Macaca fascicularis: one gene and its partner. The protein of the gene in region 1 interacts with the protein of each later gene in a pairwise test. Links are inferred from orthologs where the notes say so. Each region holds a gene or a part of one and is shown in the gene's direction. Other genes may lie near its edges. The genes, in order: SH3GLB2 and melanoma-associated antigen 1.

What was found.
Region 2: the proteins of SH3GLB2 (region 1) and melanoma-associated antigen 1 interact in binary tests that used the Homo sapiens proteins (3 or more experiments, as listed by UniProt). The two-hybrid records come from large-scale screens. The link is inferred for Macaca fascicularis from reciprocal best matches to the Homo sapiens genes SH3GLB2 and MAGEA1.

Annotation. Positions count from the first base shown.
Region 1 is NC_088389.1:14,931,938-14,935,745, forward strand, and holds part of SH3GLB2 (endophilin-B2), read left to right. Parts: intron 1-1,246; coding exon of another isoform or gene 1,247-1,258; intron 1,259-1,963; coding exon 1,964-2,026; intron 2,027-3,473; coding exon 3,474-3,569; intron 3,570-3,808.
Region 2 is NC_088395.1:159,218,343-159,221,499, forward strand, and holds melanoma-associated antigen 1, read left to right. Parts: upstream 1-1,366; 5' UTR 1,367-1,398; coding exon 1,399-2,349; downstream 2,350-3,157.

The DNA of each region.
Region 1 (3,808 bases):
CTTGGTGGCCCCCGAGCTCTGGTTCCCGGGGAGACATTTACGGTGTGGGTGGATCAGCAGTGCCCCCAGCTGGGTGCAGGGTACCCCACAGTCACCCCGCCAGGCAGCTGGAGTCCCCTGCATGCCCTGCCCTCCTAGATGCTCGGCTCTGTCCCCGGCTCTGCCCAGGTATGGCACCTTCTTACTAACTCTACTACTTGCTGCTTGAACGTCAGGCCCAGGGTCCCTGTGCTCAGGCGCCCCCACGATGGTGTGGAGAACCTGGGAGCTGGACCGCCCACTTGCTCAGGGCTGTGTCTGAGGGGCCCTATCAAGCAGCCTCATGAGATTGGATAGGGCCTGGGCCGTCTGGCGCCCCCTTCACTCCCAGCCCACTGAGGCCTGTTCAGCCTGGCTGGGTCAATGGGACGTAGCCTGGGACAATGTGCCCAGGGCGAGGCCAGGATCAGAGGAGCTGGGCCCAAGGGTGAACACCCTCCTGGCACGAGAGGTTGCTCGGGGTGCAGGGCCTAAAGGCTGCCTCACACCTTGCAGAGGGAACTCCCAGGCCCAGGGCCTGCTGGGAGATGGCTACCTGTGGCTGCCGGGTGATTAGCCGAGGGAGGCCAGGCCCAGCCTGGGCTCACAGCTGTCCATACACCTTGTGTTCCCCTCCCATAGTGTGCCCCAGAACCTGCACTGCCCGTGGCGAAAACTGTGTGCAGGGTCTCAGGTCACTTAAGTGTGTGGGGTCTAGACCAGAGGCAGGGGTATAGCTGTTTTAATCTTGGGGTTGGCTAGGGTGACCTGTGCCTATTGGGATGACCTCTTTTAAGTCACCTGAACAGGACAGTCTCCCCCGTCACTCAGGGCCAGACAATGTCTCTGGAGTAACTCAGTCAGAACACACTCCATCAGCCAGGCCAGGGGAGCCTTTCCTTAGTCATTGCAGTGGTATGACCTCTCCTTCGCCTGGTGGGCCTGGACAACCTTGCATCCTGGGGTTGGGCCAGGCCACCCTTTCCAGAGCTAGGACTTGGGCAGCCCGGGGAACAGCATTCCAGAGGACTCAAGCCCCACAGCTCTGTGCCCATAAGCACACACACGTTAGGACTCTTCAGGAGAGCAGGCTGTGGTGCCTCCCTCCGCCTGACCGCCTGGTGTCCCCTCCCACTAGGGCCTGGGGGGCCTGCTCCTGCCTGCGCTGTGGACTCACTAACTCTTTGTTTTTGTTCCTTTCCGTCCTGCTTTGGGTAACTTGGCTCAGTGTGAGGGAGATGTGAGTATACCTGTCCCATGCGCTGTGCTGCTTCCGGTCTGCCCATCTTGCCCGTGGACCCACGGTGCCGTGGCCAGCCCACGTCCTTGGGGCATTTTGCAAGCAGCTGGTCTCCCCGCCAGAGCCTCTACTGTGCAGGGCCTCTGGTTTAGGGGGGATGCCAGGCGTTGGGGCCTGTGAGTCAGCTTTTTGCAAATGTTGGACGTCTGTCACTCTGTCTGCCCATGCATCCATCTGTCCACCCTTGTCGGGAAGGGCCTGGCCCTTGATGCAGGAGTGAGAGATGCGGTGTGCAGATTCTGGGATGGAAAAAGCCATCCCAGGTGGGGGTGGGCTGTGTTTGTGGGACCCTGGAGCATCTGAGCCACTGGTCTTGGGAGGAGGGGGCTGTGGCCCCTGGGAGGGGAGAGCCCAGCCTGTGACTTGCTCAGGCAGCCTCGGCTGTGTCCTCACCGCATTTGGTCTCCTGGGCTCCAGTGCCTACAGCCGCTTGATCTTTGTCTGGACTCTCCACGTCCCTAGGCCCCTCATCTCCAGGTGGTTGGAGTCGGGAGAAGAGGGTTTGTGTTGTGTTTGTATCCCCCTGTCCTTGGGGTCAGGCCTCCTGGCATCTCCTTGTGCAAGACTCTGGGGTAGCCTCCTGACCTCGACCCTGGCCCTGGCCCAGGGTGACCCCCTCCCCACATGAACTCTGTTCCCCACCAGACGGTGCCTGACTTTCAGGAGACTAGACCTCGTAATTACATTCTCTCAGCCAGCGCCTCCGCGGTAAGCGCACCCCACCCCCACCCGACCCCTCGTCCTCTCTCCCCAAGTCCCATGCCACTGCCTCTGACTGCACAGGAGCTAGAGGCCAGCGGGTAAGGTGGGGGCACTGCCATGTGATCAGGTCAGTCCTGAGACACTGGGGAGGGGCAGCAGCCCCCACCTCTGTCCACAGCCTGGCCCCTGTGCCCTGTGGCCATGGAGCTGGACTTGCTTCCCCTCTGCAAAACGCTGGAGCTGGCGGCAGGGCCAGCTGTACCGAGTAGCGTGGAGAACTCAGGGCGGCAGCTGTCCCATCCTCAGGGCCCCTCCACCTCCTGCTGTCTCTGAATGCCAGGCCCTGGGGAGGCCCTGAGGATAGAGGAGGAGGCCTGGCCGTGCCTTTCTGGAGTTCACAGACCCCTAAAGACAGGAGGCAGTGGACTGCCGTGTAGGCCTGGAGAGCGCCTGGGGGGCGGGAGGGCCTGAGGCTGTGCTAAGGCCCAGAGGTTCTGGAGCAGGGCATGTCTTGTCCTGAGGAGGCTCAGGCAGGGCCCCTGGGGGAGTCGGGGCAGGAGGTGGGGAGGACAGGATCGTGGAGGCTTCGCATGTCATGGTTTTTAAGCTTTCTTGGGATGTCTGGTATTTCCTGTGTAGTTTGGGGACTCGGCCACACCTCTCCCTCATGCTTGTCACCACTGCTGCACCTTGTCTGCCCACTTTCTCTCCTTCCCGCCCCCAGGGGTGAGACCCTCACCTCTGTCGTGAGCATGCTGCCTTGTGTCTTTCGTGCCGTCGTTCTGTGGCTGGGTGACTCCCTCAGGCCACCAACCCTAGTTGGCTCTCACAGCAACTTCCAGTGCTCCTGGACGGGGACTTCCTAAGCAGCATGGGGGCCACATGGGTGGGCCACGCACACTGGCCTGGGTCCGCGTTCCCTATTTCGGGCTGTTGTCTCGGGTCAGATCTCCGGAAGCAGCAGGAGCGCTGGGTCTCCGGTCGTGGCCGGGCACGGTCTTTCTTCTTCAGGATCCACTTCCCGCCTCCTCCCTGTGCCCAGTGGAAGGAGAAACATCCTAGAGGGTGGAGACTGCCCTGTTTTTCTTTTGCCATTGAGTCCCAGTGTGACTCAGGCACGAGGCTGCCTTTCTCTGCCAGAGGACAGAAAAGTTCAGTGACTGGCCCAGGGTCACACGGTCCTGTCTCCCAGCCCACCAGCCTGAGCCAACAGTCAGGACGGGGTGGGGCACTCGGTCTCTCTTCAGACCCCACTCAGAGTCTGGGGCTGACACTGTAGGAGAAATAGAAGCAGGACTCCCGCTGGCTGCTCCCTTCCTGCATGAGGCATGTTAGAGGGACTGGGACTGCCAGCCCCCAGCTCCCAGGCCTGCCTCGGCCCAGTCTCAGCTCCTGTTTGGGCGGGTGGGGCAGAGGGGCAGGGGGCAGAAGTTGAGTCTGGGAGCTGGGGCAGGGCACAGGCTCTAGGGTCCAGCTGTCCTCCTCTCCCCTCTCCTGCTGGCCACTCCTGCTGCCGTCTCCACAGCTCTGGAATGATGAGGTGGACAAGGTAAGTTGGGGCCTGGGGGGCTGGGCTTGGGGAAGAAGGGGTGGCAGGGTACAGGCACACCTGCTGCTGTGGGGTCTGGTCTGTTTCTCACTCTGCCCTACACCCACTGGGGAGGGGTTACTGCTTTCCCTCCCTGGGCCTCAGTTTCCCCTCTGTGGGGAAATGTTTTCTCCACAGTACCCTGTAGCACACAGTAGGCCCTCAGGATGCACTTGCTGGGTGGATTTCTCCAATGGGTG
Region 2 (3,157 bases), on another chromosome or scaffold:
CAGATCAGGGATGGCCGTATGTTCTAGTCTCACTTGTACCACAGGCAGGAAGTTGGGGAGCCCGCAAGGAGATGGGGTCTTGGGGTAAAGGGGGGATGTCTACCCATCTCAGGGAATTGGGGGTTGAGGAAGCACAGGCTTTGGCAGGAATAAAGATGAGTGAGCCAGACAAGGCTATTGGAATCCTCACCCCAGAACCAAAGGGGTCAGCCCTGGACACTTCACCCAGGGTGTGGCATCTTCTTACTCCTGTTTCCAGATCTCAGAGAGGTGAGGACCTTGTTCTCAGAGGGTGACTCGGGTCAACATAGGGACCCCCATCTGGTCTAAAGACAGAGCAGTCCTACGATCTGCCATGCATTTGGGTGAGGAACATGAGGGAGGATTGAGGATACCCCAGGGCCAGAACACTGACAGAGACCGCACAGAAATCAGCTCTGCCCCTGCTGTCACCCCAGAGAGCATGGGCTGGGTCGTCTGCCAAGGTCCCTCTCTTATCTTGGGATCATTGATGTCAGGGAGGGGGAGGCCTTGATCTGAGAAGGCTTCACTCAGGTCAGTAGAGGGAGAGTCCCAGGCCCTGCCAGGAGTCAAGGTGAGGACCAAACAGGCGCCTCACCCAGGACACATTAATTCCAATGAATTTTGATATCTCTTGCTGTCCTTCCCCGAGGACCTAGGCCCGAGTGGCCAGATGTGGGTCCCCTCCTGTCTTTCTGTTCCTTATCATGGATGTGAGCTCTTTATTTGGATTTCTCAGACCAGCAAAAGGGTGGGATCCAGGTCCTGCCAGGAAAAATGCAAGGGCCCTGCGTGAGAACAGAGGGGATCATCCACCGCATGAGAGTGGGGATGTCACAGAGTCCAGCCCACCCTCCTAATAGCACTGAGGGCCCAGGGCTGTGCTTGCAGTCTGCACCCTGAGGGCCCGTGGATTCCTCTTCCAGGAGCTCCAAGAACCAGGCAGTGAGGCCTTGGTTTGAGACAGTGTCCTCAGATCACAGAGCAGAGGACGCACAGGCTGTGCCAGCAGTCAACGTTTGCCCTGAATGCACACCAAGGGCCCCGCCTGCCGCAGGACACATGGAACTCCACAGAGTCTGGCCTCACCTCCCTACCGTCAGTCCTGTAGAATCGACCTCTGCTGGCCGGCTGTACCCTGAGTGCCCTCTCACTTCCTCCTTCAGGTTTTCAGGGGACAGGCCAACCTGGAGGACAGGATTCCCTGGAGGCCACAGAGGAGCACCAAGGAGAAGATCTGTAAGTAGGCCTTTATTAGAGTCTCCAAGGTTCAGTTCTCAGCTGAGGCCTCTCACACACTCCCTCTCTCTCCAGGCCCGTGGGTCTTCATTGCCCAGCTCCTGTACACTCCTGCCTGCTGCCCTGACCAGAGTCATCATGTCTCTTGAGCAGAGGAGTCTGCACTACAAGCCTGAGGAAGCCCTTGAGGCCCAACAAGAGGCCCTGGGGCTGGTGTGTGTGCAGGCTGCCGCCTCCTCCTCCTCTCCTCTGGTCCTGGGCACCCTGGAGGAGGTGCCTACTGCTGGGTCAACAGATCCCCCCCAGACTCCTCAGGGAGCCTCCGCCTTTCCCACTACCATCAACTTCCCTCGCTGGAGGCAACCCAATGAGAGTTCCAGCAGCCATGAAGAAGAAGGGCCAAGCACCTCGCGTGTCCTGGAGTCCTTGTTCCGAGCAGTACTCACTAAGAAGGTGGCTGATTTGGTTCGTTTTCTGCTCCTCAAGTATCGAGCCAGGGAGCCGGTCACAAAGGCAGAAATGCTGGAGAGAGTCATCAAAAATTACAAGCACTGCTTTCCTGTGATCTTCGGCAAAGCCTCTGAGTCCTTGCAACTGGTCTTTGGCATTGACGTGAAGGAAGCAGACTCCACCGGCCACTCCTATGTCCTTGTCACCTGCCTGGGGCTCTCCTATGACGGCCTGCTGGGTGATAATCAGATCATGCCCAAGACAGGCTTCCTGATAATCATCCTGGTTATGATTGCAATGGAGGGCGGCCGTGCTCCTGAGGAGGAAATCTGGGAAGAGCTGAATGTGATGGAGGTGTATGATGGGAGGGAGCACAGTGCCTATGGGGAGCCCAGGAAGCTGCTCACCCAAGATTTGGTGCAGGAAAAGTACCTGGAGTACCGGCAGGTGCCCTACAGTGATCCTGCACGCTATGAGTTCCTGTGGGGTCCAAGGGCCCTCGCTGAAACCAGCTATGTGAAAGTCCTTGAGTATGTGATCAAGGTCAGTGCAAGAGTTCGCTTTTTCTTCCCATCCCTGCGTGAAGCAGCTTTGAGACAGGAGGGAGCAGCTTTGAGAGAGGATGAAGAGGGAGTCTGAACATGAGTTGCAGCCAAGGCCAGTGGGAGGGGGGCTGGGCTAGTGCACCTTCAAGGACCGTGTCCAGCAGCTTTCCCTGCCTCGTGTGATGTGAGGCCCATTCTTCACTCTGTTTGAAGAGAGCAGTCAGCATTCTCAGTAGTAGGTTTCTGTTCTATTGGATGACTTGGAGATTTATCTTTGTTCTCTTTTGGAATTGTTCAAGTGTTCCTTTTAAGGAATGGTTGAATGAACTTCAGCATCCAAGTTTATGAATGACAGTAGTCACACATAGTGCCGTGTATATAGTTGAGTAGTAAGAGTCTTGTGTTTCATTCAGATTGGGAAATCCATTCTATTTTGTGAATTGGGATAATAACAGCAGTGGAATAAGTATTTACTTAGAAATGTGAAAAATGAGCAGTAAAATAGATGAGATAAAGAACTAAAGAAATTAAGAGATAGTCAATTCTTTTTTTTTTTTTTTTTTTTTTTTTTTGAGACGGAGTCTCACTCTGTCGCCCAGGCTGGAGTGCAGTGGCGCGATCTCGGCTCACTGCAAGCTCCGCTTCCCGGGTTCACGCCATTCTCCTGCCTCAGCCTCCCGAGTAGCTGGGAGTACAGGCGCCCACAACCACGCCCGGCTAATTTTTTGTATTTTTAGTAGAGACGGGGTTTCACCGTGGTCTCGATCTCCTGACCTTGTGATCCGCCCGCCTCGGCCTCCCAAAGTGCTGGGATTACAGGCGTGAGCCACCGCGCCCGGCCGAGATAGTCAATTCTTGCCTTATACCTCAGTCTATTCTGTAACATTTTTAAAGATATATGC